Lonchura striata: one gene and its partners. The protein of the gene in region 1 purifies or fractionates together with the protein of each later gene. This does not show direct contact. Links are inferred from orthologs where the notes say so. Each region holds a gene or a part of one and is shown in the gene's direction. Other genes may lie near its edges.

The links.
Region 2: the proteins of CLGN (region 1) and PTPRU purify together in Homo sapiens (affinity purification with mass spectrometry; 3 studies listed by BioGRID and IntAct, with this or other methods). This does not show direct contact. The link is inferred for Lonchura striata from reciprocal best matches to the Homo sapiens genes CLGN and PTPRU.
Region 3: the proteins of CLGN (region 1) and SLC9A6 purify together in Homo sapiens (co-immunoprecipitation; 3 studies listed by BioGRID and IntAct, with this or other methods). This does not show direct contact. The link is inferred for Lonchura striata from reciprocal best matches to the Homo sapiens genes CLGN and SLC9A6.
Region 4: the proteins of CLGN (region 1) and SLC30A1 purify together in Homo sapiens (co-immunoprecipitation; 3 studies listed by BioGRID and IntAct, with this or other methods). This does not show direct contact. The link is inferred for Lonchura striata from reciprocal best matches to the Homo sapiens genes CLGN and SLC30A1.

What each region holds. Positions count from the first base shown.
Region 1 is NC_134606.1:65,813,357-65,821,277, forward strand, and holds the start of CLGN (calmegin), read left to right. Parts: upstream 1-4,914; 5' UTR 4,915-5,071; intron 5,072-5,202; exon of another isoform or gene 5,203-5,286; intron 5,287-7,921. UniProt on the Homo sapiens protein: Functions during spermatogenesis as a chaperone for a range of client proteins that are important for sperm adhesion onto the egg zona pellucida and for subsequent penetration of the zona pellucida.
Region 2 is NC_134628.1:7,632,021-7,639,782, reverse strand, and holds the start of PTPRU (receptor-type tyrosine-protein phosphatase U), read left to right. Parts: upstream 1-4,745; 5' UTR 4,746-4,880; coding exon 4,881-4,959; intron 4,960-7,762.
Region 3 is NC_134616.1:6,717,365-6,724,630, reverse strand, and holds the start of SLC9A6 (sodium/hydrogen exchanger 6), read left to right. Parts: upstream 1-4,251; coding exon 4,252-4,513; intron 4,514-7,266. Other genes in the region: MMGT1 (ER membrane protein complex subunit 5), read right to left, coding at 630-792, 1,749-1,852, 2,686-2,738, 3,156-3,237. UniProt on the Homo sapiens protein: Endosomal Na(+), K(+)/H(+) antiporter. Mediates the electroneutral exchange of endosomal luminal H(+) for a cytosolic Na(+) or K(+).
Region 4 is NC_134605.1:12,215,772-12,223,271, forward strand, and holds the start of SLC30A1 (proton-coupled zinc antiporter SLC30A1), read left to right. Parts: upstream 1-4,490; coding exon 4,491-5,124; intron 5,125-7,500. UniProt on the Homo sapiens protein: Zinc ion:proton antiporter that could function at the plasma membrane mediating zinc efflux from cells against its electrochemical gradient protecting them from intracellular zinc accumulation and toxicity.

The sequences.
Region 1 (7,921 bases):
CAAAACAACAAGCAAACAAATGAACGGGTCAAAAGATCAATTCCATATCCATTTAGTTACTAATACTCTCTATTAGGAAAGAGTTGAGTTAAATCTCAGGTCTTTATATGACAAGGTATATGAAAAGAATGCTAGTAATTTCTGTAAAATGTCCTTTAGTAATATGTCATATAAAAAAATTATCACCTTAGTTTAAGTGATTAAATAGATGTTATTATAAACAATTGATAAGGTGTTACAGCCTGCCTCAGGGACTAAAGCATAAAGGTATAAAAAGTTTCACCAGAAATAAAAATACAGACATTTTTGAAAAATATTAAAGACATGGCATTCAACTCCATTAAAAACACTAGTCAATTTTATAGGGAAATTAGAACTGAAGGAAATGTTGTCAATATTAATTGCAAGTATTTAAAGTAGTTCACAGGAACAACTTAATGTTATGAAAATTTATCTCAAACTTAATATAAATGTGTTTAAGCCTTAATGTGATATAAGTTATGTTAAATATTTTTTAAATGAAAATTGTCTACAAATTATGATTTGAATAACTTGAAACTTAAACGGGTATTTTTTGGAAAATTGTAAAACTTCTTAGTGAATTGTGCATTTAATTAATTACAGGAAATAAGGGTATTATGGTAACTATATTTTTGTAAAATAAAATCTATATTTAAATACAATTTTGGATCCTGTTATTTGATAATCTTATATTACTGATATCTGATCTACTGATATTTCAATCCTTGTCACAAGTTCAAATTCAACATAAATTTGAAAATAAAGAGTAAATAACAGTAATCTCATTTGAAAAATTTTTGGGAAATTAAAATCTACCTTTGACATCTACCTGTTAATGGTCAGAATTCTGGAATCATTTACTTAGCACATGAAGCACGACTGCACCCTCATTCCCCTGCACAGGCATTGCTTCCTGACAGCAGAAAATAAACTGCAATATTTGGATTTGTGTTGAACGGGTTACATTAATGTAGAGTTGTATTCCTAATGCCACAGTGTTTTTCATTTACAATGAGATGGGATTGATTTTTTTACATTAAAACAGTTCAGAAGAGTGCTTTCTTCAAAGACAACCTCTAGTAATATTTTGATAATATTGCTTAGAGGTTTGTTGTTTATTTTACTTTATTTTTTTAAATTTTTATGTACGGGATTGTTTATATACTGTGGTGCTATATATGTAGATATGTGTACATACATATATTGGAACAACTGTTGCAGCCTTCGTTAGGAGTTTAATGCCAGTTAAGAATTGCTGCAGTAATCCAGCATGCTTAGAGGTATACTTGGAGATACCTTTGTTCATCTGCACTTACAGTGAAAACATAAAACCTTATTTTGCCATTGCTTTCACTGCAACAGATTCGCTGTTGGGAGTAGTGTCTGCATTCAGGGTGCCTTACATTTACTTGTTACAGGGCAGTGTCACTAAGAAGGAAATTCCAGAGCAATTATTTAAATCAGTGAAAATATAGAATATGCCAAAATAATAGATTTTGCTACCAAAACATCTCATTTTCACAGCAAAATGAGATTTCTCTCTAGTTGTTGAAGTGTGCTTTCGGCAGAAGCTCATCAGAATACCTGAAATTGTATTAGGAAATTACTGGACTTAGAAAAACCTTTTAAATGAAATTTTCCATTCTGTGCTGCCAGCTTGGTGCTTCAGTGCTTGTTTTTGATACCGTTGCAATCAGAGAATACCTTTCTCATCACTCGGATGTAAATGAGGTTTTACTTGATGCTGTAAATAATTAATGCTTCACAAGAACCATTAATTCTTCCCCGTGCTTTTGCAAGAGCAGAGGTTTCTTGCACAGTCTGCAGAACCACGGCTCCACTATAAAATCAAAGGAACCTCCTAAGAGGAATTCTGGATTTTCACTGAAGAAGCAATATGAGGAAGAGCAAGTATTCCAGCCCAAGGAAGTTTACAACAAGGGAGTGCAGTGGAGGAATACTTCAGCAATAGCTGAATATGTCTGTGCATTTTTGGCAACAGCCACCACTAGCAAGGGAATGAGCTGGGTGTGTTCCCAAGGAGTGGTTACAGAACACCTGCAGCTTCCTTTCCATCCTGCAAGCAAGATCTCACCTGTGGTTTTCTGTGTAATAATCCTGGGCACTGAACCTTCACACTCAGTGGCTCTGAGGCCAGATCAAAGGCTCAATAGAAGCCTTCCCATAGGAAGGCTTCAGTTCAGGTCCCAGGAATAAGGAACTTCCTCTGACTTTACAAGTGACTCTATTGAAGTCTAGGCATTGTGATTGTAACTTAAAAACCAAAGGTGGTAAACCGTAAGTGAAAAAAACACTCCGAGAAGAGTTTCACATTACAAACCAGATCACCAGGCTCACTGAGTGGGAAATTTTACTTCAGTAATTTCATGTGGTTTAAAATATGAGTCTCAAAAATAAGGTCTACCTCAGGCTCATTGTACACATACTTAGTCATGTTAAAATGTCTGTGTGGTAAGAAACCACAATTTTCAAGCTAGTTCCGTTACTAAAGTCCTCCAGAAACACTGGGAAAAATAAGACTCCCTCAACACTCACCATTTTATTGTTAGGGAGTAAGGCATTACTTTATTCTTGGCTGAGAGGTGTGTGTGGCTGACAGAGTTCTTCGTGCTGGCAGAGATACAAAACTCCGTCACTTATTTGTACATTTTTAGCAAAGACAGGAATTAGTGCTCACTGGTTCCAAGTTACATAATTCTCTTCATTAATTAGTATTCTATCCTCTATTCATACTATGCTTTTCATGCTGATTTAGTGCACCTTTTTTTAGTCTTTTTATAATTTTTTTTCTTAGATGGGAAGTCCCCAACTTTTCAGATATTAATCCCCTCTCTATCTTCTGGTTACTTCAATATCCTTGAAGGGCCACAACCTTAAGATCCCAGTTGTCCAATCTTTAGTTCCCTTTGGCTCTGTTTATTGAAGCTTGTCAGGTTAGTTTTAGCAAACTTAAGGTTTCACTGATTTAAAGATCACAGTAACAGTAAGAGTCTGTGAAGAAAACCAGTACTGGCTAAAAGCAGGCGTTGCTTACAATTAATTAAAGAAACTAGTTAAAAATTAGTTAAGAAACATATGACTTTCAACAGCTCAGTATTAATAATGGTTTATTCAAACAATTTTGATTTTCACTAAAGCACAGTTATTCAATTCTCTGAATAATGTGTTTCCAATTCTCCTCTTAAATATTTTTGTGGATTTTTGCAAAGGCATGCCAACATTTGTCTTCAGCATAAGAGGCAGATACAAACTTGGCTTTAGTAACTGTGAAAAATGCATATTTTATGATTGGCTTTTCGCAAATGTTACAATGAATATTATATGTGTAATGTTAGAAAGTTATGCTGTATTAATTCTCTTAAGTAGTGTGCTAAGTATAGTTTTACGTTACAACATAATGTTAAAATAGAAACTCTGTGATTTAAAATATCTTTTACTAGCTCAAGAAAAGAGATAAGATAATCAAGAAATTATTCGCACAGGGATAACAGTGACAGGGCATATAATTACAGCCTCCTTATTGGAAAAGACAAACATTCTTCCACCTTCACTCCATCTTTATGGAACTACCAGGATTAAGGGGAACAAGTTGACAAAAACCAGAAAAATTCTTAATTTACAAGGAATTTATGCATCATGTATGAGATACATGAATATTCAACAGGCTATTGCTTTTAAGGGCTATTCCTTTGTTCACAAGACATGTTTTTGGCAGCGGTGAAAAACACCAGTCACTTGGTTTTTAAAATATTAAAAGTTTAATAATAATAAAATAGTTATAAAGATAGTAATACAATTAGAGTAATAAAAATGTAGTCAGGACAATTACAAGACAATAAAAAGCAAAGAATTACGGATGTCCGGATGCTCTCGGGCACTTCTGGTTTTTGTCAACTCCTTCCCCTCAATCCTGGTGGTTCCATGAAGACAGAGAGAAGGTAGAAGAATGTTTGTCTTTTCTGATAAGGGGCCTGTAACTCTTTGTCCTGTTGCTGTTATCTCTGTGCGAAGAGTTTCTTGATTATCTTATCCCTTGAGCTAGTAAAAAAATCCTACATCGCAGAGTTTCTATTTTAACATTATGTTGTAAGCTGAAAGTATATTTAACACACTACTTAAGAGAATTAATACAGCATAACTTTCTAACATTACACATACAATATTCATTGTAACATTTGCGAAAAGCCAATCATAAAATATGCATTTTTCAGAGCAGCTTAGCATCCAAAAATATCCGGACGTCCGTAATTCTTTGCTTTCTATTGTCTTGTAATTGCCCTAACTCTAAATTTTTATTACTCTAACTGTATTACTATTTTTATAACCATTTTATTATTATTAAACTTTTAAAAATAATAAACAACAAGTGACTGGCGTTTTTCACAGTAGCTCATTTAAAATGTTTTTATTTCGCTCTGCTTCGCGGCACGTACGTTCAAGCGGCAGGGTGAGCGTCTAGCTGTAAGTAAGGGTTTCATTAACTCGAGGTTACGGGTTGGAAAACTCTTTATCCTGGCCGCTCCCTGGCTGGAGGCAGGCGGGGATGGGCGGCGGGCGGCGGCCCGCGGCCATAACAACAAACCCCCCTCAGCGGCGCCAAGGCGGAGGGGCGGGGCCGGCCGATGGCGGCGGGCGATTGGCTGAGGCGCCCCGCGCAGGGCGGGCCGGCAGCCGCGATCCAGCCGCGCATTGGTCCGGCCTCAATCCGGGCGCTTCCGATTGGCGGAGCTTGCTGCCCGTCTCCCGCTTCCCCGCACGCTCCGCTCGCCCGTGCCGTGCGTGCCGTGATTGGCCGGCGCGGCGCGGCGCGGGCCGCGGCACCTGCTCCCGCACTCCCGAGAGCGGCGGGGGCGCCGCGCGCGTGCGCGGCCGGGGATGCGCCGGGGCGAGCGGCCGGGCCCGGCTCCGCCCGCCGCGGGCCCGACAGCGCCGCCGGTAACCGCCGGTAACCGCCCGTTGCGGGAGGAGCGGCGTCGCCGTGCTCGGTAACCGGGCCGGGAGAAGCGGCGGGCGCTCAGCCCCGCGGGAGGTGCGTGTGCATCCCGTGCGGCCAGGGGAGGGGCGATGGCCCCGGCGGGCGGTGGCGGCCCCGGCTCGCCCTTGCCTCACGACGGCGGCTGGTCCCGAGGGTGGGATGCGGGAGGGCTCGGGAGCTCGGCCCCTTCCCCGAGGCCGGGCGGGAGAAGCGCGGAGTCGCGGGTGCACGACGGGCGGAGCTCCAGCGGCCTTGGTTCTCCTTTCGAGGTATCCCAAAAAGCAGGTTCGAGTCGCATGCTGACACGACACCGCGTGGCCGTTTGTCCCTAAAATCTGTATTTTTTGATTGGGAAAGAGGGTCTTGAAGGTTTTAGTCGAGCTCCCTGTAGCAGCAGAATATCTCGAGGCGCCTGCGGGAGTGCAGCATTGTGGCTGGAGGAACTGCTGAACTTGGCATTCGGCATCCACTACAGCGCAGGGTGCTTAACGCTAAAGGTAAAGCGAGGGAGGTACAGTTTTCACACCCAATAAAGGAAAAAATTAAAATCGTGGAAGAATTCTTGCATGCATTTCCAGTTACACAACGTTTCCAGTTACAGCTGGATGTTATGTCAAGTTGATGCCAATGTAGCAGAATGAGAGCGGGAATAAAGCAGCTCATGGTTGCAGATGGAAGAAAGGGGGTGTGAAATATCCTCCGCTTTTCACATCCCTGGATGAAATTGGTATTTGGTCCTGTGAAAAGACAGTATATTGATACTGGATGCAGGAGCTTTGGACTTCGGAGTGAGAATAGCTGTCTTACTCCCTTTCTGCTAGAGAATCCAGAACTCTGAGAGTTACATGGAAAAGGCATGACTGTTTTCAAAGTACAAGAAAAGGTCAGTAATCTGAAAGATCCTGACCTCTTAACTAAGTTCTTCAGTGAATGGAATAATGATGCTGCTAACTTAATGGCATGTATACGATACACCCTGGTACAGAAGTACAAAAGTTGACACAGTTGCACTATGCAACCCAAATCAAATTGTTGACACCACGAATTCTCCCCTGACCTGCTGCTTGCAACAGAGGTAGCCCTGAGGCTGGTCCAGCTTGCTTAGAGATTTTTTTCTATACTGTCTTGGAAAAGCCCAAGGACTGAGACTAGGCAGGCTGTACTGCTGCTTGCCTGTCCGTGTGGGGAGAGAAATTCTAATATCCAGTCAGACTATGTTTACAGCTTATGCCGTTGTCTTTTATCAGTACTGGTCTGTGTCTCAGAAGAAGCAGCTTGTTACTTTAGGTGCAATATTCTGCTGATGTTGCAGCACTGTTGTTGGTCCCTGGAGCATCCTCTGCAATACTACTGCTGGCTTAAATGACCTGCTGATGTGTAGCTGTGCTGTGGTTACTCATGGTAAAAAGTGACCAAGCTATGCAAAATGTATGTTTAAAATTACAGGTCTGAACTTAGATGCATTGACAAGACTGCTAGTAAATATGTTTGGTGTTTTGTGAGAGCCATAGACTCTTCTAATTTGCTTTGTTCTGCTGAGGAAATTGTAACAGTGGGAATCCTTTTGACTTATTTTCATTGCCATCTTGAAAATAGAGTAAGAAAAGTTTCTCGTAGATCTTCATGTGTTACTATGGAATGTTCAGTAGGTTTTAAAGATAATTAAATGTGTAGTGTGAAGATCTGTTTTGAGACCATAAACTCATTGGTTTAGGTGAAAGATTTATTTTATATTCTAAGACTGTAGTGTGGCAGAGTTCACAAAAGTGAAAGATGTCACGGGCTGGTTAAAACCATCTTTGCCTGGCAGCTGAGTGTTAACTTTAATTGGTCTTGATAACATTTCAGCATTTCTGGGACTATTTTAGAAGTATGTTAAAAGGTCAAAATTAAAATGCACCCTCTCTTCTTGAAGGAAGAAGTAAGAGATATAATTGAAAGCTGAAGGAACTTAGGGTAGTCCTGGGTAGGATCAGGGAGTAGTGATAAGATTCAGTGGGAACCATGTGACAGCATCAGAAATTTTGGAATGGAGCTGTTTGCAAAGATGAGTACTAGTGTGTCTTTTTGGATGCCTGTGTTAGTCTGTGTATGGAACAAAAGTGAATGGGGGTAATTACAGTAAAATTTCAGCTACGTAAGTGAAAAGCATTGTCAATCATACACAAACACACCTGAAATGTACTGGAAGAGAAAGTTGTACCTCTTGCTCTGCTTCAGGAGAAGCAGAAACCATGTGCATGACAAACTAGCAAAGGTAAGGTAGGCAAGCTATATGCTAAAAATGCAAGTGTGATACTTGTTTAATATTTGACAGTTTAGCTAGGAGCTAAGGAGTCCAGAAGGTATTGATGTGGAATTCTTTGAGTGCTTGTCCTAATAACGATGGTTAAGGAACAAGAAGATGGAGTTGGTAAAACTGATACTCCTCAGACAAAGGTGTTCAAAAATACACCTTAAGATTACATGTTCACCTGTGATAAACTCAGTTACTTTAAATCTTCAGGGCAAGATTATTTTAAGTGCTAGAACTACTGAGGAGGTCTATGAATTAACAAAATTTCTAGTTTTAACCTAAAAAAAAAAACGTCAAATACAAAACACTACTAAAATTAACAGATAACTGTTGAAATGTATCACCTGAAAAAAAGAGGGAACCACAGACTTACTATCTTCAAGCAAGGTTGTAAAGTCCAAAGAATGGCAGGCATTGTGGATAGTAGTAGGGGAGAAAAAAAGAATAGTAATATGGTTAATGTAGATTTGTGGGAAATAGGTGTTAGTCCCAAAAAAAGAGGCTTTTGATTATATCCTAGTATTGACATAGTACTGGTGTGTGAAATGCTTATTTATGATGATCCTGTATTTTATGTATATCCTGGCTATATAATCAGTGCAGTTAAT
Region 2 (7,762 bases), on another chromosome or scaffold:
TGCAACCCTGGCCCTGTAGATGCCAAGCAGCTTGGAGAAGCAGTGATGGATCCTTGGCCAAACTTTCCTCCCTTTCAGCCCTGTTGGACAGGTGGGATTGAGCTGGATGTGCTGGAGGAGCAACTGTCCTCATGCAGAGCCCTGGGGACAATTCCTGCGTGTCTCCAAACCTGGTCACACATGAATGCACGCTGTCCACGCATTCCTCCATGCATCCTTCCCCACACCCAGCTCCATCGTCCCGGGAGGCTCCCCCAAAGCCCTTCCCCAGCGGAGGAGCCCCTGGGAGGTGCCGCCCTCCCGCCCTGGGCCAGTGCCAGCCCTTTGCGGGGACAAGGAGCTTTTGTGGAGCCCCTGTGCCCGTCCCGCTCCGCTCCCGCTACATTCGTGCCGTGCCCTCAGCCCGTGGCAGGTCCTGGTGCATTGATGATCCTTGAAGCACGGGAGTGGCACCAGATGAACCCCAGGGCTCACCCGAGGAGGTGGCACGGATGGGCTGTGGGGCTGTTGGAGCAGGAGAGTGACCCACAGGGAATGGGGAACAGTTCTGTTGTGATACGCTGGATGCAACAAAACCCTTTTTATTTTTTTTTGAAGTGATTGGTTTGGAAATACAATTCAGGGGTTTAAAAGGTGGTGGAAAGCAGTGCAGTGCTCCAACTGGCTTGTGCAGCTTAAAAACTTCTGGTTTCCTGCCTGATTCCCTCAGAATCCTGGGAATATCCTGCTCCTGCTTACACTTGGCTGCATTTACCCCCCACCCGAACATTTTCAGTTCAGCTGCTAGGTCAAGACCCCCCCAGATTCCTCCCCAGTCTGGGCAGAGACTATCCCCCAGTCCAGCCCTCCAGCGCCTCTTCCCAGAAGGATTTTGGGGGATTTTTCTCCAAAAAACTCCAGGGGGACCCTGCAGAGTGCCCTCCTCTGCACTGTACCAGCCTGCACTGTGCCAGCCCTCTTCTGCTTTTGCTGCCACACATCTAAGCAGCTTAATTCCCTTATCGGGCATTATTTTAACAGGCTTTTAGTGTCACTGGGGAGAGGATTTGTAACTTGGAGAGGAGTGTCCATCACCCTCTGCCCTCACCCCAGATGTACTGTCCTGGCTGGGGGACACACGGTACTGGTCTGGTTTATCCCCAGATCCATGGGGACGGATGCATCCCTGCAAGAAGTGTCACCATGGTGCTAACCTGCTGGGGGTGCTGCTGGGAGCAACTGGCGGCAACTGGGAATGGAAGAGAAACGTTTTGTACCCCCATGGCACAGGCAGGGGTGACACCGGGGACACTGCCAGGAGTACTTGGGGCTGGTAGCTCTGAGGTGACCCCAGATGTGCTGAACCCCTGTCCTAGGGAGGAGGGGGCCAGGAGGGGGCTCTGCAGTGTCCCCAAGGCTGTGTAGTGTGCCCAGGGCTGTGCAGTGCCCCATGTCAGTGCAGTGTCCCCAGGGCTGTGCAGTGTCCCCAGATAATGAAGCCAGCCCATAAGGAGAAGCAGCACAGCAGTATCCCGAGGGATGAGCTGAACTTGGATGAAGCTGGCAGGCAGTGTTGTCCTGCTTCTGGGGCTGGGAACTTCCCAGTGGGTTCACCGGGCTCAGTAACACCAGGTACCATCCCCTGTCCCTCTGTCACCCTGCTGGATGCTGGCAACTGGGTGCTGTCTTTCAGGACAAGGCTGAATCATCGCAGGGTGATGCCACTGCCAGGGACTCTCCCTGTGTGATTTGGAATAAGAAGTCCCAGTATTTTCAGCGTTGTTCCCTCTGCTTTCCAAGTTTTCCTATGCCCAGGCAGATTCCCACCCTGGAGCCACAGCCAGGGCTAGGTGATCTAAGCATGGACCACGCTGGAAAGCTGAAGCAAAGTTCCCCTCCTCCTCACACCAAACCTTTGGGAAAACATTTTCCTCCAGAAATAGGGCTGGAGAGGATGTCAACAAACAAGAGGGCCTTTCATCCCCCCTGGCATTGCTGGCAGGGACACGAGGGCTGATCCTGTGTACTCAGCTGGGAAAGGGACAGAGATTTTCCTCCTTTTACATCCTTCCAGGTTTTTCTCCTTTCTGCTCACTCTGAGTTAGATCCTGCACCTCCCTCTCTCACCCCCTTCCCACCCCGGGGGATAGTGGCTTTGCTGGGTGTCACCGGGGTCTCAGGAGCCACTGCCACTCCCATACAGCCTTGTCTGGCTTTCCCTGTCACCATCCTGCCGAGCTAAGCATCCCTGTCCCTCAAGGACATCCAGCCTGTGGGAGAGGACCAGGGGGGTTTCAGGGTCAGAGAACACCCTTGGATGGGCAGGAGGCTCTGTCCCCAAAGTCTACCCGCAGGGTCTTGTCTCTGCCCCACAGCCTTGGGCACGGCCAAGGGGTGATGGGGGCACTCGAGGACTGGGGGAACCCACCTCACAGTAGGTGTCACCATCACCTCCCTCTGTCCCAGCCTCCTCCCAGCACCTGTCCTACAACTGGAAACCTGCAGGATTCACTCCAGCTTGGTGGAGACCCTAAAACTGGGACCCCTGAGGACACCTCCTGCATTTGGGGGGTCGTGGGGGCCCTCCGGAAGGCAGGCTCCCCGCAAGCTGGGGACTATCCCTACATTCCTACATCCCTGCATACCCAGAAAACCAGGGACGCCCCTCAAAGCCTGGCAGCCTCCTGCCCGCAGGGAACCTCTCTTTCCTCCTGCAGCCGGATCCCCCCCGCTGCAACAGGAGACACCGCAGCAACAGGAGTTCTCCGCGCACCGGGAGCTCCCTGCAGCCGGGGACCCCCGTGCTTTCTCCGCACCCTTGCGGGGTCCTCTCCTGCCCCACCCCGCAAGCAAGAGCCGCTCCCGGGCAGACCAAGCGGCTCTGCCCCGGCACCTCCCCCAGCCCGTAATTCCCGGGACCCCCATTCCCCGCCTCTCCTGGGACTTCCTCCCCCTCTCTCCCGGTACCGGATATTCCCCTCCTCCCACCCCCCGGTACAGGAGGCCTCCCCCCCTCCTCGAAACTCTCGGGACCGCCCCTCTCCCCGCACCCCCCCAGTACGGGAGAACCTCCTGCCTTGACCGAGCGCCGCCCGTCGTCCCCAGCTCCCGGGACCCCTTTCCACCTCTCCTGTCCCCCGGTACCAGAGAACCCCGTCAGTCCCCCCGTAACTCCCGGGACCGCCCCCCCTGCGCTGCTCCCAAACTTCCCCCGCGGCACCACCGCTCGTGTCCGCCAGGGGGCGCCGCCGCCGCGCCCACCGCTGCCGTTCCCGGTACCGGCGCCCCCCCCCGCGCCCCCCGCGGGCAGCGGTGACGTCAGGGCGGCGCGAGCCGCCGCCGCCGGTATTTGAGGCGCGGGGCGGGCACGGGGGCCCCGCTGCGCCCCCGCCGCGCCGGAACCGCGGGCGCGCAGCGGCGGCGGCGGCCACGGCCCCGCCGCCCCCCGCCCGGTCCCGGCACCGCCGCACCATGCGGAGCGCCCGGGCGCTGCTGCTCGCCCTCGCCCTGCGGGTCTACGCGCTGGACACCGAGACGCCCGCCGGTAGGAACGGAGCGCGGTGTGTGCGCCGCTCGGTGCGGTTCCGAGACTCCACCGACCCCGGTGCTCGGAGGGTCCCGCCCGTCCCGCAGCCACCTGTTTCCAGTGGAGGGTTCCCGAACCGCCACGGCTCCTGCTCGCTCCCGGTACCGGGGCCGCCGTCCGACCCCCGACCCCCCCGTGCCGCACCTCGGGAGGGAAAACTTCCGCTGGTGGCAGCCTGGGGAACGCGACCGAGAGGAGCCCTCAGGCCGGTGCCCGGGGGTCGGCGGGATCCCGGTGGTTCACCGGCGGCCGCGACGGGAAGCTGGGGACCCTTTGGTGGGAACAGGTGGCGGCCGCGGCGGCTCCGGTCGCAGCGTCCTGGCTCTCGTTTTGCTGGGGGGCACTGGGGGAGTTGTACGGAGGTACGATCGATCGATTAATTTGCAGATTTTAAGTTTTCCCCTCCTCCCCCTGAGCACCTCGGCGCTGCGCCCTGCGGGCCCGGGACCCCCCAGCCGGGGTTACGGCGAGAGCTGGTGCGGGGTGTGGGACGACGACGACTCGCTCCCAGTCCCTTCGGGAAGCTGGAATGAGGTTTGATGCTGCGGGGAATGGGAATTTGGGGCTCCCGAGGTGCTACCGGGGGCTGCGATCGCTTTTTTTGGGGAAAAGGAGCCACGGGAGTTGGTGCCTTACCCCAAGGGGTCCCTGATCTCATTAAAGTGTATTTTTACCTAGTTCTTTGGGTTTTTACTTTTAAATCCAAGCTGTTCACCTGCACGCAGTCCCCGTGGTGATGCATTGATTTTGTTTTTTTGGGTAGTGGCATTTCTCCAAAGATTATAAATAGTGACAACCATCAGCAGAAAACAAGCGGCGGCTGACCCGTGCGGTGGGGGATGGAGAGACGATGGGTGGGGGGCTGTGAAGCTGTTGAGGCTCCCCGGCTCATGCAGGGTGGGGGAAATGGGGAGGGAATTGGTTTGTGTATTGTGGGGAGAGGTTGTGTGCTGCGGGAGCTGCTGCTCTGAGCTTCGGGACTCAGCAGGGGGCGATAGGGAAACTGAGGCACGGAGCTGGTGCGCGGTTCAGTGCTCCGATGGAGCAAGGGGCCTCAGCCCCCCGCCCCCCGGGTTTCGGAGGGGGATTTGGGGTTTGCTGCTCCGCAGCCCTGGTGTGCGGTGCTCTGTTGGCTCTCAGGGCTGAGCTGCTGCAACCCGTGAGGGGCAGTGGTGGGGATGCACTGGGGACTGGGGTGGCTTTGTGGGGAGGGTCTCCTCCTAAGCAAACCCTTTTCCCTTGGTGGGGTCGCTTCCCTGCAGAACAGCATTGGTGAAGGGCAGGATCGAGCCTGCTCCGGGTGTAAACCAGGAGTATGTTTGCTCCATTTCCCTGGCCGATGCAGAGCAGGCTCAGCTCCTCAGTGGAGCTGAAGGGATTGTGTCCAGCTGGAGGTAAGGGGTCTTCTGCCAGCCCCCCTGCTGCACTGCAGGCTGCTTTTCACCTGGATCTGCTGTTTGGTTCTGCAGATGTGGCTTGGCCGGCTGTGGGGAGGTTGCTGGGGCTGCACAGTGGGCAGGGCTGGGAAAAAATATTTAAACCGTTTGCATGTGCTCTGGGCCGCTGGGGAGGACGCGCAGCTTGTCTCGGTGGATATGTTCAGAAGATGGGGGTTTTCTAGCTGTGCCTTTGCGAAGAAGGGGTGCAGATGGTCCCTTCTACAAGTAAGGCACAGGGAGGAAGTGGGGTGTCCTGGTCATAGCCCACCACGAACTTAGGGTGCTCTTTGCTCCTTCCTGCAGCCCTCAAACTTCTTGTAGTTCATGAAGGTTTCGCAGTGACTAAGCTGTCCTTGCGGCCCGTTGTGCTTGTCACGGAGGGGACCTGGGTGGGCTTGGGAGGCACTGGCTGGCCCCCCAAAGTGAGGGGTGCAGAGGCTTCTGTGGTGCCAGCAGGCTGGGATGGGGACCAGCTTCCAGCAGCGGCCTTTGGCAGCTCCGTCTCTCCTCCCTGGGCTCTTTGCAGCAGGAGCCTTTTCCTGCTGGAAGCCCGTGGCCACGAGGCGCCCGGCTCGCAGCGCTCCGCGCTGGGCCCGGGGACAGGAGGCTGTGCATGCTCAGGTATTTCCCTCCGCTTTTTGCCTTCCCTGCCAGGAAAGGTGAATGTGGCACTTGGGGATGTGCTAGCGGCATGGCTGGACTCAGTGATGTTTCCCAACCCAAATGATTGGGTGCATCGCAAGGTGCCCCTCTGCTTCTCTGTGTTGCGCCCCGAGAACTCGGCAGCTGCTCCGGGCTCCCTGCCCGTGCTCCCGGGCTGTGTTCTGGCGCTGGGGACACACAGCCGTGCTGCTGCCCGGCGCTCCTGCCGGAATCATGCGGAAGCTCTTTGCGCTCGGCTCTGACTTCGTCAGCAGCAATGAAGCAAATAAAATATTTGGGTTTGTAGCTTCCACTTGGGAGGTTGGGACTGCCAGGGAGCACTGGACTGGGGTTGGAGGCGTCTCCGGGGGCACTCGGACTGCTTGGGGGGGCTGGGGGAGGCGGCTGCCGGCTGCGGGGACCAGCTGGGCCAGGCAGGAGGGACGGGGGCCCCCCAAGCGCGCTGGCAGGAGGTGGCTCGGGTGACCCTGACCCGACGCGGCGGTGCTGTCTCGGTCGAGTGAATGGGAACAGCCGAGCAGACGCCGTTCCTGGGCTGGGGTCGGGGTCGGGGCAGCCCCCGCCCGTTAACGGTCGCCGGGGCTCGGGAGGTGCTGGGAGAAGGGATGAGCTCGGGGAAGGGGGTCAGGAGCAGAGATGTCCCCGGCTGCTGCTGGGGGACAGGGTCAGTGTTCGGCGCCCTCGGGGTGCTCAGGTGCCTGATGCTGTTCCTCCAGCGCCTTTCCCGGTGTTTGTTTCCCTCCGCCGGGCTGTCCGTGCCAATCCAAGGCATTTTTGTTCACCCCACCCCACCTTCACCAAGCACATAAAACGTGCGAGAACGTTACATTTTCCTTCTCAGCTTGTTTCAGGCTTCGTCTGTGTTTTTTTGTCCTCTTTCTCTTGTTTGCTCCTACATATGTTTTTAATGCCCCGAGAATGCCATGCCCTTTCCCAGAGCGCCCAGACAGTGCAAACACCCTTGAGGCTTCTATGTTGAGATGCTCCGGAAAATCCTGTTGACGTGCCCAAGTGTGCCCAGGGCAGAGGTTTCTGGCTCCTGAGCCCTCGGCTCTCCAGTGTGTGCAGAGGGACACTGCCGTGTGGTGGATTTTCACCATCCACGAGGGAGAAGCAGAATTTTGGGGGGCTCAGAGTGATGCTGATGCTCGTGGATGGACCTGTCCCTCTGGCTCTGTATCTGCAGTTCCATGGTACAGCCTGGCAATGTCTGGGTTTTTTCCTCCCCCATCAAGACTTACAATTGCATTTGTTTCATTGTTACCTTTTTCCTGTTCCAAAATTCCTGTTTGATGTTTTTCCTCTGGGGTCCCTGGACCTGCCCTGGCCCCGGGAACAGGGATGCTAGTGAATCACCTCCTGGCTCAAAATGCACATTTTCTCCCTTTGTTATCCAAACTAAGACAAACCAGCCCTATTCTACCTTTTCTGGGAGCTTTCTCAGAATCAAGTCTATCAGGATCAGGGCCCTGGGGGAGGAGAGACACCCCCTGGAAAACCAAGGCAGGTGTTTGTTGGTGGCTTTAACCCCTGTCCTGGCTGTGACCACCTCCTTGCTGCCTGTTGATGTTGGTTTTTCCCTTGACTGCACCTGAGATGGAACTTCATCACCCAATCCTTGTTCTGCAGAGAGGCTAGGAGCTCTGAGCACCCCAAAATGCCCCATAAGAAACTTCTCCTGGCTGCAGTCCCTCTGCAGGGATTTGCTGCTTTGCTTTGGGCAGTTGTGTGAGAGTTAAGCATGGGGGGCTGGAGGCAGAGGAAGGCAAATCCCTGCTGCATCCCTGGGAGCTGGGAGGTAGCAAAGGCTCTGGAGAGCCTTATCACCATGGCCCTACCATCTGCCTGCTTAAACCTCCATAAATAAGCTTTTTCATAATCTATTATTAACATGCACTATAGCTGTCTTATTAGACATATCTACGAACCTTTAGTTACTGTGTGATTAAATGTCAGGATTTCCAAACCTCTTCTCCCCCATGGCAGCTTGGGATTTGCTTTGTAGCTTTCCTTGGATCCTGCTCTCTCATTCAAGCTTGGAGATCCCTCCTTGTACTTAGTGAAACTGAGGCTTTCCCCTCTGGACAAGGATTCC
Region 3 (7,266 bases), on another chromosome or scaffold:
CTCACGTGGAACAAAGGAGGGCAACGAGGAAGTAACGTGGTAGTGAGAAACCAGGAAAAAAAGAATAACCCTTCACACAACTGTTTTTCAGCATTATAAAAAAATAACAATGAAAGCAATCACTTTGACTCCCCCTGCCACACCGTGCTGGTGTCCCACAGGCATTCTAGGATCAGGTGCTGCCCCTTTTCCTGCTGTTCAGTGATGCAGTGCACACAGCATTTCTGAGGGGATCCGTAGACTGTAGTGCAAGCAAACTGAGAAAATAAATACACTCAAACAGTCCCTCCTGTCAAAGAACATCAGTTGCAGGAAAAACTAGCTTGCTTTTTGTTTTAACTGAAGTTAAGTTAGCCGCAACTCGTTTTAATATCTGAAACTTTGAAGATGTGTTTCACAGCATAACTGTAGAATTTACACTGCATTGCCAATCCACAATTCAGTCATTCTCATTAACAGTGTACAAAGAAGGTCATTAGTTTATATATATATATTTATATATATATATATTTTATAAAGTCTGGAAGATCAATATAAATACTGCTCCAGAAATTAAAAAAAGTGTTTACATCCCCGACTTCAATATTACATCTCAGTGTCCTGGGTTATTGGTATCATCTGTAAAAGTCTTAGCGGCGCAGAGGTTCAAGTTTTCGAAATTTCAGTGCCGAGCTGGATGACAAAGCATCTTGGTTTGAAGAAGAATTCACTGTGTCTGGGGACTGGAACAATACTCTACCACGATGATTAAATACATAAAAAGATGGGTGGTTCCTTAATGTGTCAAATGTCCTTCAAAATAAATGCAAAAAGCCAAGGTTAATACTCTTTCAGAGCAGGGAGTTTAGAACAGTCAGTCTGGGGCGTATTGACTTTAGACACAAAAATACAAGTTTTCAATCCAAACTCTTGCTTGCTTTTAAGTTTCCTAAACTGAACAATGAGGAAATACACAGTTGTGAAAAAGACCACAAGATGTCCACGTCACCAACTTCCCCTTCCTTTCCGGGGCTCAGGAGCAGCCTGTGGCTGCTGCTGCAGACATCACATGCCAGCCTTTGTTCAGCTCTCACTTGTGTTAACACCCTGATACTGCTCAGCTTTCCATCCCCCTGGGAGCCTCACACTAAAGGCTGAAATACAATTATGTCAACTTTTTCAATTCCCATACTCCCCTGTGGTTTTGGAAATGGCCAGAGAGACAACATCTGCCCATCCAATTTCCTGTCAGAATCACAGAATATTCTGAGTAGGAAGGGACCCACAAGGATCATTGAGTCCAACTCCAAACTGAACAGCTCATAAAGCAGTTGAACCTATGACCTTGGCATGCTGTAAACAACTATCCTCCTCAAAATTTTGGCCCAAAATCCTTTATTTTCTTAAAAGTCTTACAGATGTCCTGCCTTGAATATACTGAGTGAGACTCAAGTGACTCAGACGTGCAGTCTGAGACCATGTCATGACAGCAGGTGGTGGCTCCTGAGCTCTACTTCCCACCTGCACACTTCATGCCCGTACCAAGTCTGCACAGCAGGATTTCAGACGAGGAAAAGCAAGAAGTTTGATTTCTGCCTGTTATCTAATTCTCCCTTAAACTCAAGACTTTGTTGGCTTTTGCAAGCGTGGCTGCTCCCCTTGGGTGGCTGCCTACAGCACGCATTGAAGGACTGAGCTAAAGATGAGCAATTTCAGTTTGTACAGAGAAGCAGATACCCGTGTGTACAAAAAGAAGAAATCAAACATACTTATTTTTGAGTTCTGAAGTGGCATCCATGTCTTTAAACTCTCCTGCAATATGTGCTATCCCATAGCAGGTGACTGCAAAGGCCAGCAGAGTCTGCAGGACTATCTGCAACAGAGGGAGCACAGTGCAACACACACATTACCCGGTGTTCTGCACATTTACCAAAACATCTCAGCTTTCACACAGTATCTCTGGTGCTTTTCATCCAGTGACAGCAAACAGAGGGGGCATTCCAGCAGTGGGGAAACTGAGGCATGGAAGAATTAAAATTCTCTCCTATTTGCACAGCAGAGCTCCAGCTGCTCCAGCACAGGTCTGGGTTACACCAACTGAATTGACTCACAGAGCTCCTCAGCAAGAGCCTGAGACCAAACACTCTGTTCTCTGCTCTCCAGGACCAAATTCCTGCCAGGAACACTGTGGAGCCCTGGGCTAGGCACTGTGCCTGGCTCTCCCGGGCACCTGATCTCCCTGCCCTTCTGATTAAGGAGAGAGGGAACAGATAACTGAAGTGGAAATTTGAAAAGCAAGCAAATAAAGCAAATAAAAGCTCCCTTCCTGAAGCAGGCTGTGCTGGGATCAAACAGCCACACTGGATAAACATGTCAGCCACCCAGCGCCAGAGGGTGCAGGGTGTTTATGCTGCACAGGAGGTGATGGATGCAAAAGCTCTCTGAGCTACGTTCAGGGGATCCTGGACAGGATGCTCCAGGGTAGTTCTAAAAGAGAGGGAGGCCTGGATCTGGGGTTTGGGGTTTCACTAACAACTACAACATGCTCAGGAAGTTGGGATGAAAATGAAAAATGTGGTTCTTTTTGACAGTGCCAGCTCCAGTGATTAAAAACTACTTTATACTTTATGCTTGCCTAGCACATTAAAAGGAAGCAACTGAGAGACTAAACCACCCCAGTTACACCTTGCACACACAAAAACTTACATCTATGGGCAACGTTTCATCTTCCTTTTCTGTCAACCTCATGTAAGAACGATCTACAAAACAGAAACACACGCACGCATCAAAAACTCCGTGCACGCAAATAAACAGCCCGGCAAGGCGAAACCCCAGAAAAACGGCTGCAAAACACGCGTCAGCCCGGCCCTCCCCGGGCAGCGGGGCCGCCCCGGTGCCGCTGCTCCGGGGCACGGCTGGGCCTGCCGCAGGCGGCCGGGAGAGGCCAGGCCGGAGCCGCGACCCGGCGGGCGGCAGCTCCCCCTTCCCACCCTTCGTTTTCCCCTCCGTTCCCCCGCGCTCCTCCCGGCCCCACGGGCAGGGCCGCCCCCGCCGCCGGGCTCGCGGCTCGGGACGATGATGATGCTGCCGGCCCGGCCCGGCCCCCGCCCCGCGCGCTCCCCGTCGGCCGTGCGGAGGCGCCGGTGCCCCGGGGCGCCCCCCCGGCCGTGACTCACGCTGCGCCGCCGAGAAGGCCGCGTGTGCCAGGGCGAACAGGCCGAGCCCCACCAGCCCCTTCCACACCGACCCCGCCGCCATCGCCGCCCGCCGCCGCCAGGGCGCCCCGGCGCGCCGTGATGGCGTCACCGAGGGGGCGGGGCCAGGCCGCGCCCCGGCGCGCGGAGGGGGCGGGGCCAGGCCGCCGCTTTCCCACGCGGGGCCATTGATAAATTCCGAGCGGTGTGTGAACCCGGGATGGTTCCCGGGGGGCGGTTGAGGGACAAGGGGCCCGTGGACCTCCCCGAACAGGCCCCTTCGCTCCACCGGGCCAGGCCGGATCCCTTAAGGCCGAAATCAGAGCGTAGAGCCAGTGGTACCCGAGTTAATTCACATTTTACACGCGTTTAACCTCAAAGCTTGAGAAACCGGTGCAAGAAAAAACGGGGCAAAGGCACGCACACAACGTGTAGGAGGGACGCCCCTGGCCGAGCCAGGCTTGGGGCAAAGCAAGGAAACACCACACAGTCAAGCATCCTGGGTCTTCCGTGCCCCCAAGGCACAAAGGCAATTCTTTGAGGACCTTTTCTACAAGTCACCTTTAAGTTGATCATTGGCATTTATTACAACCCTTGACTCACCGGCACCGCGCATCCCCCCTCCGTGTCTTGGTAAAAAAGGTGGGAAGTTTACCCGATCCCACTTGGGGGCTGCCGGCGGCTCTTGGCACCAAACACATGCCTTGGCACGGTGTGAAGGCACGACCAGGATCCTCCTGGACCCCGTCTCCCCCTGGGCCCTGGGGAGTGTCCTGCAGGACATCCCTCCAAAGCACGCTGCGCACAAACAAGCCCCGCTGCTGCGCGCGGCCGCGCTGAAGTACCCCGCTCCAAGTCTGCCTGGGGGTCTCCCTCCCTCTACAACCCCCTGTGAGCCCCGCTCCCCTTCTCCGTGCCGCGCATCCCGCTCCCGGGACTCGTTCAGGGCAGCCCCGGCCCCTTTCCCCCCGCTCGCCCCGGCCCGTCCCTATCCGGGCTCCCGGCGCTGTTCCCGCCCCCGGCGCCTGCGCCCAGAGCCGCTTCCTGGTGGCGGCGGGGCCGGGCCGGTGCCGGGGCGATGGCGGGGCCGGGGCCGGTGCTGGCGGCGGCCGCGGGGCTGTGGGCGCGGGGCGCGGCGGCCGCCGAGGTGGCGGCGGCGCGTCCCGGGGCGCTGGAGGAGGAGATCGTGTCCGAGAAGGCGGCGGAGGAGAGTCACCGCCAGGACAGCGCCAACCTGCTCGTCTTCATCCTGCTGCTCACCCTCACCATCCTCACCATCTGGCTCTTCAAGCACCGCCGCGCTCGCTTCCTCCACGAGACCGGGCTGGCCATGATCTACGGTGAGCGGTGCCTGCCCCGGGCGCCGGGAGCCAGGTCCCGGCCAGCCCCGGCTCTGGCTGCCTGCCCCACCGCCCACTGCCGCGGCAGCACCAAAAGCATGGTTCTCCCGCTCGGTGCCTGCCGAGGGGCTGCGGGGGGACACGACACATCCCCCCGTGGGTGCTGTGTCACCGGGACAGCCCCGTGCTGCTGCGCTCAGCCTTATCTGGGTGCTGCTGAACGGAGGGTTGGTTGTTTTCCAAACCTTAGATATGGAGAGCTCTCCAAGGCAGAGGTGCTCTCAAATGGCTGGCAGTGGGGAACCGGTTGGGTTTTTCCAGACGGCCTCACGGGGTGAAGCTGGCAGGGTCATGGGCTACCACGTCACCAAGCACTGGCAGGTCCCACTTACCTGCTCCGGGTTGAGAGTGGGGACTTGGGGCAGCACAGACCAGTGGTTGCACTGGTCAGGAGCCTCACATCCCGGGCTGGATGGGGTTCTGAGCAACCTGGTCTAGTGGAAGGTTCCCTGCCCATGGCAGGGGGGTTGGAGCTGGATGATCATCACGGTCCCCTGACCCAAATCATTCAGTGATTCTGTGATCCCACATCCTGGGGCTAGAGGCTGTGATTCCAAGATGTGTTTAGAGCATCCAGATTTCCAGAAGCTACCCAAGAAGACTGGAGAGGCCATTTAGGGGATTCTCCCAAGCTTTGGCATGCTCAGGGCCTGCAGAGCCAGCAGCCTTCTATCCTGCTGCCTGGGGACCTGAGTGCACAACCCTCTACCTTTTCCTCCCACTGTGACAGGACCTCTTGGAGAGGAACCCCTTGTGTATTCCCAGAGGAAGTGAAGCAAGGCTGTGGGTCAGTGCAGTGGGGCTGTAGACATTTGGGTTTTAATGGTGGCCTGTGATTTACTGAGGTGACATGGCCTCGTGAGGTGGCCTGAACCCCAGGGTATGATGGGGCCATGTATGGCTCTCCCTGGGTTATCTGGCATGACTTTGAGTTCAGCCAAAGTAGGACTGGGAGGTGTGCTGGGGAATGATTAACATGGCCGTGGATCTGTATCTAGGGATGATTTTAGGAATTTAGGATTGAGAAGGCATCTCCTGTTGCGTGCTGTAGTTAGTGTGTCCTCTGTGTGGCCCTTGTTGGCTGGGGGTGAAGTGTGGCCACACAGGCAGATGTGGCTGAATCTCCCACCCAGCAGAAAGCTTTGATCTGAAGGCTGTGACTTGACCTGTTTGGGCCACTGGCTTTTGTGATCCCAAGTTTCAATTAATTGGAAGTCTCCTTCCAAATGAAGGGGTGGAGGCACTTGTGTCAGCACACAGGCACGAAATAATGCTCTGCATTTTCACATTCCATCCAGCCACTGCTCGGGGGGTTCAGATGTTTCTGGCCTCCTGCCCAGGGTGGGGATGGTGACCTCCTGGGACAGGAGCTGTGCTGTGGGAGGACATGCTTCCAGCATGGAAGGTCTTCTCTCTCCTGCTGTGTGGAGTGCCCCAGAACTCCTGACATGCAACTTTCTATTCCTTTCATGCTCTCACACCTTGTTCTTCTTCTCCTGGACATTTCTTCCTCTTGATTGTCCTCTCTCCCTGATGTATCTAAGTGCTCACTTTATTCTCAGAGCACAGCCTGGGTTGTTTCAGTCTCCTGCTGATCCATAAAATGCACCTTTTCTGTCTGTTCTTCTGCAGACTGTGCTTAGGGAATTGCTGAAATCAGTAATGTCACCTCTCTGATCATGCAGAAAATCCCAAGTTTTCCTCAGTGTCAAGGCTTTTGGCATTTACTTCTCAGGTACTGGCAGGTGCCATAGGAAAAGGGATGTGTAATTCCCAAGGAATTCATTCCAAGGTGAGATGCTGTTGTTTTACTGTGACAACTTGAAATCTGCAGGGAAGAGAGGAGGTGTCCCTGTCCCTATCTCCCTGCGATGGTTTTAGCCCCAAGGAATTTCACTGAAAATGTGGAAGGGGCTGCAAAACAGACCCTGAAATCTGAACAAGAGAAGCAATTTGCAAAAGCTTGTCTTTTTCTGTTTGTAAAAACCCAACAACGAAGTCAAAACTTGGGCTTATCTCTCTTTTGGCAAAGCACATCAGTTTCTGGTCTTTATTTTTACTGGAAGTTATAAGCTCTTGCTCCAGGTGGATTTCTGTCGTGCACATCACACTGTCAGCTCAGAGCTGATGTTCAAGAGCTGGAAACTGTCTGGAGTAATTTCAGTGATAGACAATAGGTGCTTAGTAGCTCTTAAGATTCATTTCAGTGTTTAAAATGAAGTTCCCACATTTGAGATGCTCAGCATTTAGGGTGATTAATTGAACAATTTTGTTTCAGTTCTTCTCAGAGTCTGATGGTGGATGTGCAGGAGCTTCTCTAGAAGTTTAGTTTCCTTCTACTTGTTCCCACTTGACCTGTGGATTGTGTGTGTCTAAACTGCTTGTTGTCAGGATGTCTTCAGTTGTTACATTTTTCTTTCCTTTTGGTGTCCAGATTAATGCTTGCCTGGGGATCCCGTCTGCTTTCATTGTTGTTAAGTGCTGGGTTTGGTAATATATTAGTCTTCATTTAAAACATTACCTCGGAAATGTTCAACAGCACCTTAAAAAAAAAAAAAAGCCCATGGGCTTTTGTTATTTTTAATGAAGTCAGGAGAAATGGCAATGAAAATAATCTTGTGCACTTTGCATAAAAGAACCCAGTTAATTTGCCGGCTTTGCCTTCAGCTTCTCAACTCCTTGCAGCTTTCAGC
Region 4 (7,500 bases), on another chromosome or scaffold:
GCATTAATTTCACAGCTAATTTGAGCAACTGTTTTGCCTGCCTACTTGTGGATTTTAGGAAAATACTATTTGTATCATAAGCATACAAACTGGTAATCAAAGCAGCCAGGAAATACTCTTTAGTCCACCAAAAAGGGCATGCCTGTTCATTAAAAACAATTACAGACTGACCATGCAGTCAATTGTGTCTGAAGTTCTGGAGCATTTACAGGATACGGAATGCCATTGAATCAAGTGAGCAGCTTGAAAGTAAAAATCCAAAATAAAGGAAAGATCAAAACTGGACATAAGAGAGGCATGTTTTAAAAATCAGCTGTTTCTTCATTTGGGAGAAAATGTTTCAGAAGGGGAAAGAAAAAAAGAGCTTTTAATCTGCTTTGCAAGGCTCAGAAGTATAGTGGATGACATACTGATCACCTCAACTTGCCTGGAGTTCTGCCACCGACTTCCAAAGAGCCCAGATTTCACAGACACAGTGATCAGGTAGAAGAAGAAATCTCTTTGTAGGGCAAGGTGTCCTTCATTTCCTATCTCAGTGCCAATTATTGCTATAGGCTTTCTTCACAGGTCACTAACAAAAGCATGTAAGCACATGCTTAACTTACCTCTGTTCGAAGGCCTTTTAATTAACTGCAAACACATGTCTATGTCTTTTCCTTGATAAAGCTGCTTTCCTGAATCAGTGCCTAACTGTGAATCCAACCTAGAGCTACATGAACAGTCATACTCACTTTTGTGTTGTTTTTTGATACAAGGAACAACCTTTTTATATGCAGGTATCTGGACAGTGAGTGCTTCTGTTGGCTTTGGTGATGCCGACTGCATCTAATTTGAAGAAACCTTGTAAGGACAGCTACCAGAGAGATACTGCCTGCGAGAAACGCAGCCTAAAATGAATGCTGACAGCCTTGAAGTGGAACAGACAGATGGAGACACGTTTGCCACAGTCCCAGAAAGCCCTCATTAAAAGCCAACAGGTCTGATGACTGCACAGAAAGGGGAAGAGCTGGGTGTTAAAAGGAGGCCGTGTGCTCTGTAATATGTGACTGCATCGGCACCTAGGCAGGGTTTCACCTTTTCCAAGTGGAAAGGCACACAGCGATGAAGAGCCCTACGTGGTGGAGATCTCTGCACTTGCAACCCTGCTCAGAAATTCAAAGGGGAAAAGCAGTGACTTTATTTGCTCAGCAAACATGCTGAGTAATAGCAAAACTCCCAGCCAAAGTCCTTCACACAGGGCTCGGCTGGCTCAGGAGAGCCCAGCAGGACTCGGTACAAAACGTTTGGCTGCAGGACAGGTGACAAGCAGCAGCTTTCTGTTCAGACTTGTCACCTGGCTCTGGGAGGGGAGGGAGCTGTGTGCCAGACATCCACAGCTACTTCTCCCTTCGGAACACAAAGCATTTATGGTAAGTAAACAGATTTTAGATGGGTCCTTCCACATCTGTGGACCGGAAGCTGAGCTGAGAAAGAATTCTTTGAGTCATGAACAATGCCTGGAAGCTGAAAAAAAAAGAAAAAACAACAAAAAATCCAGAGTCCTCCCTACTCTGAAGACAAAGTATTCTGCCTAAAAGCATAGGCAGGAACATTGTGTCTCCTGTAAAACACCATTTATGGTTTCATTAGGTACCTGTATCAGTCACTTTCCCATCAGTCTTAAAATTGATGGTGTTGCCAGATGGACAGCCCTAAATTAGGAAATATCCCTGTTCCTCTTGGCTGCTGGTGTATGGTAATACAATAGAAAAGCCTGGAAACAACAGTGTACAGCCCACTGGTTTACAAGAAAGTGTGGGGAAGAGGTAGCGGCGGAAACTCCTGTGTGGTCCAGCTGCCAGTCCATGCCTGGCACATCCAGCAGCCACAGGGGATCATTCATCAAAGTCCCTGTGTTTGAAGCCCATGGAGACAAGAGTGGCTGGGTCAAAACTGTATGCCCAGCCCTATTCATCAGGGAGCAGTGGAAGGCCTCAGGAACCATTTTTCTTCCCTGCCTGGGAAGACACCACACCCTCCCATTCTCCTGGGGTATATTGTCCATGTCTTGTGGCTTTTGGCCCCAAGTAGAATTAAGCACTCAGCATGGTATAACAGGACAAAAAGCTATCCCTGGACATGGCTAAAGATCAGCAAGATGCCATCCTGTAAGGGGAAAGATGCAGTACACTGGACAGTGGTGTGAGGCAGATCAGGAGGTCTCATGGTGAAGAGATGTAAAAAGGATTACAAATTGATCTGGACATCATTTGCATACCAGGAAAGGAGTCCAAAAAGCCCTAACTCCCCTCCTTAAATCAGGCAAAGCTCTTGACAAGTTTATAATGAAGATTTATCCATCAGTGTTCTACTGATATTGATATTCTGCTGATTTCTCTTAGGAGGGGATTGAGTACTTTTAATCAAGAAAACTATGATGACACCCTGGTGGCAACCAACTAAAACCCAATTTCACTAATTCCTGGAGCTGAGCCAATGAGAGAGACCAAACTTGTTGTTCTCCCTTCCTTCCTAGCTAAATTCCATTGGATTAATAGCAATCTCTGTAAAATGATAACCCACTTCACCTGCAGTAATTAAAAGAGGTTTGAGCTGCACCAGTTTCTTTGACCCATATATCCTAAATCTGGGCAATTCTTCCTTGTTAAACTAATGGCTTTGTGTGGGAGTGAGGACGACACAACATGGGCATGTTCTGTTTGCATGCAATTGCCTTTCAGCTTCCCGGTTATTTACTTGTTAGTAAGTGACGTCAGGGCATACGGGAAGCCAGGTGAGGAGAATGTTATAGCAATCTAATTGCTGACTCTTTTTACAATGGCTAGTAAAGAATCCTGCATGCATCCTAGATTTTGACCCAAGGATACTTTCACAGGTAACATGGTTTAGGGTCACAGGTCATCACAGCAGTACCTCTGGTGCCCAAGCCAGCTCTGCCATGTGAGGAAAATTAAGCAAAATGGCACACATTCCCGCTTATCCCACACATGGATAAGAGTGTGGTATCCAGATGTGGGCTCTTGGGGATGCTGCCAAGCACAGGGGAAGCCTGTCCTGAATCACTGCTCTCAGTTATTCTCATTGACAAGCTTTCCTTGTGGACACGTGAGCACCTTCTGTCATTTTACTGCCCAAATTAAGTCAGGAACCTTTGCTCGGACCCTGAATCACAATCCCTTTGAAATCTCCAAGTACAGGAACAACATTTTGCGTTCTGGCTACATCTTCCTTCTCAGGCCACCAGTTCTCCTCCAGCCTCTGTGGGTCCACAGCTCCACCTCCACGGCTGCTGTCTCCTCTCCACGCTCTGCTCATGGAATGTTCTTTCACACTCTGTCTCTTGCTGCCGTGTTTGTTGGTTCCCTAGAACACAGTGAGCAAAGTAAGAGGTCAGCTCTGCCTTTTTGGAACTTTGGCCGTTTATTTTTTTTTTATATGTTGTGGTCACGCGTCTGTGGTTTTTCCGGATGTCTCAAAACACTTGCTTTCCCTTTCCTAACTACAAGCGTAACAAACCAGTGTCCAGGGAACCGACCTTTTGGCATTAACATATTTTTCCCTATATTGTTATAGAAAAATTATTATAAAATTTATTAATTCGTATTTAACATTATAGAAATTATTATAGATTTATTTTATGAATATGTTCTTATATTATACAGCCTTCTAAAACTTCAAGCAGAACTTCTTGTAAAAACTCTTCCAATTTTTTTAGCCTCCCATCAGTTATTAGTGGTCGCGTTCGCACTTATCTTCCTGCCCTCAGTGGCAGAAACAGGAAAAGATTAAAAATTAATCTTTTAATTAGACGGAGGAAAAATTAAAGAGAAAGATTAAACAGAGAAAATCAAACAGAGACGCCCGCCCCCGCAAAAAGTCGCCGAAGACCGCAGATCCCACCCGAGATCCCCGCTCCGGGCGCGTGACGTCACAGCGCCCCTCACGCCGGGCCCCGCCCCCGGGCGCGCGCCGGGCCGGGGCCGTGTGAAGCGCACCTTTTGCACGAGTCCCGCTCGCCGCGGGCGGGGCCTGCGGGGGCGGGGCGGGAGGGGAAAGCCGGCCGGTGAGCCAATGGGGATCCGCCGTTCCCCGGCGCGTCACGCCTGGCCCCGCCCACTCCCCGTTCCAGGCGCGGGCGGGCGGAACGGGGAGGCCGCGGCCCGCTGGGCGTTAACGGGCGGGGGCGGGGCGCCGCTGTCGCGAGGGCGCGCTGGCCAATGGGGAGCGGGGCCGGGCGCGGGGGCGGGAGGGCACGGCCGGGCGGGCGGGGCGCGCCGGCCAATGGGGCGCGGGCGGGGGCGTGTCCGAGGCGGCGCTCGGGTTCCGTGTGAAAAGAGTGAGGGGGCTCGGGTGCAAAGTTTGCTCGCCCGGCGCCTGCGGAGGGAGCGGCGGCGGCGGCGGCGCGGGGGGAGCGGAGCGGAGCGGCCGCCCGAGCGCTCGGGGCTCCGACCGCCCGCCGCGCTCCTCGCGCCCCCGCCGGGGCAGCCGCGATGTGCGGGGGGATGGCGGCTCACGGTCCGGGCGGGCCGCGGTGCTGGCAGAACCGGCGGGCGCGGCTGCTGTGCATGCTGGCGCTCACCTTCTTGTTCTTCGTGGTGGAGGTGGCGGTGAGCCGCGTCACGTCGTCGCTGGCCATGCTCTCCGACTCCTTCCACATGCTCTCCGACGTGATGGCCTTGGTCGTGGCGCTGGTGGCCGTGCGCTTCGCCCAGCGCACCCGCGCCACCAAGAAGAACACGTTCGGGTGGGTGCGGGCCGAGGTGATGGGCGCCCTCGTCAACGCCGTGTTCCTCACCGCCCTCTGCTTCACCATCCTGCTGGAGGCCATCGAGCGCTTCACGGAGCCCCACGAGATCCAGCAGCCGCTGGTGGTCATCGCCGTGGGGGTGGCGGGGCTTATCATCAACCTGCTGGGGCTCTGCCTCTTCAACCACCACGGCGTCGGGGGCCACGGGCACGCCCACGGCCACGGGCACTCGCACGGCGGCCGGCAGCAGCACCCCCGCGGCGGCCCCAAGCCCGAGCAGCCTCCCGGGGACGGGGAGGCTGCGCTGAACCGCGACGAGACCAGCACCTTGGTGGAGAACTGCAGCAGCTCCAACGGAGTCAGCCAGGAGAAGCTGGGTAAGCCCCGCGGGGAAGCGCCGCTGCTCCATCCACGCGTAGAAAAGCGGGAGGGGTCGTTTCCCCGAGTGGGGCCGTGGCCGTCCTGGTCCCACCTGGTGCGGGCTCTGTCAGGACTCTGTGAGGACCATTCTGTCCCCACTCCTGGAAAAGAGGCGAGAAACTTTCTTAGCAGCTCTTGTGGCACATGGCTGTCGCACCTCTTCCTCACGCCTTTCCTTCGGATGCCCTAAGCTGCATGTTTGTCTTGTAGACAGGTCAGAGTGTAAGAGAGTCTCAGGATAAAGCAGTTTGCCCTGGGGAAAAATTTGGTTCTGCAAGGAAAGGCACATGACAAGCGTTTCTTGCCTGGCCACACGAGCTGTCACAAGACGCTCTCCTAATGCCATCCGAACTGGCTGTGCGGCTCAGTGCCTTGGTCCTGGCAGCTGGATTGCTCCATTGGGTCAGTTATCAGTTACCTGGGAAGCTACTCTCCATCTAAACCAAACACACGGAAGCGTATTCCACTGCAATAATGTTGTGTCTCTTCATAGTATCGGTATTAATAGGAAGAAGTCTTGGAAATTGCCAGTCAGAACTGTGGAAGCTGGAATGTAGAGCATGCTGGTGTCAGGGCACATGTGTGGTGTCTTGGGAATAATTTTTGTTTAGCTTTCTAAAGTATGTACCTTCCCACTGACCTGCGCACAGGCGTACGTTTAAAAATCTTCCCAATTGTGGTTAAACTGTTTCATAGGTAGGAATTTTTTGGTTTTTAGTGGATCCAGAAGCCTGGATAGTTGATTTTGAAGCTGCTTGGTCAAAGCTAAGTATTGTGTGCTAGCGGAGTGAAAGGTGTGTGTGATTGCCGCTTCTCTGTTCCTAGGGCATCCTTGTCACCAGAAGGAATGGACTTCAGGCTTTGGAACCAACTTCTTCAGTTTCAGGGTGACATCAGCAGACCATTGTTTTAGCTTAAAGGGAGCTTTAATTGGTCAGAGTGAACTTTGCTACAGTAACAGGTTTTCTGTGCTCAGAGGTTCGAATACACATTTGAGAAACTTAGTTTCTGTTTCTCCAACTCTGTGTTGGTTTTGGAAAGACAGGTTTTTCAAGAGGATAGGAAAGTTCATCTAAATACACTACACCATCTTCTTGACGATGTAATAAGCTCTTAATGTTGGTTTAGTTCCAGCAAATGTATCCTAATAATTAGGTTCAAACAATGTAAAATTACCTTAACCCTTAGTCTCATTGGCTTGGGAATTATTTAATTTAATGGTGAAAAGTTGTGCTTTTAGCCAAGTTTTGGACTAGTTAGAGAAAAAAGGTATAGCATGAATTAAAATGGATATTGTTGTGAGCTGACTTGTCTAGAATGTCTCATGGATGCACTTCTGGCAAGAGCAAATAATTTGTTGTGGGTATTTAGGTGGTAATAGGACGTAATTTTGGTCACAGTGAAACTTTGAGATAAGTTTCTATTTCCTTCATTGCCCTGTCATGATTATGTAATGGATGGAGCTACTCATAGTTTGCCTATGGAAAAGTTGGAGGTAAAGGTGATTGGAGGCTTGGGAGAAGATGTAAGATGTAGAGATAATGGCAAAGGTGATCCTGTGCCTTCACTGGAAATCACAGAGTGGGGTAGTCCTGATTTCCTGAGGCGGAAGTGAAAAGTAGGCATAGCCTTAGTGGCTAGTCCTGCACAAGAATTTCTATGGATGCACTTTATGCAAAATAATCAGTTTATTGTTACATTTTAATGAGCGTATTTCAAATGGGCATGTTTTAACCATTTGCCTTTAAAAAAAGTTCAAGAGCTTTCTGGAACTATGTTTCATGTTACCCACTTGTATAGACAGCTGTACTGACCTTTCAGATCTCCACTATTCCAAGTACTTGGTACAAAGTAGAGCGTTCCTCTTTCCTTGCTCTCATTGTGGACCTTGAGGTCTGAACTCTGTAACCCGAGATATTTCCCTCTAATTCATTTACGTCTCTGGAAAGTTACAGGTCCCATGTTCCATAACTCTTAGAGGCAGTGTGGAAAATGTAGCTGGAGCTTCAGGGCAGAAGCATACTGGATGAGGCAACGAGCTGGGGCTTGGAACTCAGCCTCGGTAGGAGCCCACTCCCTCTTCAGAGAGGAGAGCACTTGTGCGCACTCCGCAATTGCAGAATTGCAGCCACAAGGGCAGAACAGCAGAAGCTGCACGTCTTATTAACGTGTTAATGTTTACAAAGCTCTGAACTCAATAACCTCAAGGAGCAGTAAGAGCTCCTTGTTTCAGTTTGTCGGGCCAGGGGCCAGTGCCTGTTGCTTTTCTTTACCACTGGAAGTAGCCAAAAAAAAACTTTTGAAGAAAAGCAGGAGGTTAATCATGTACACTT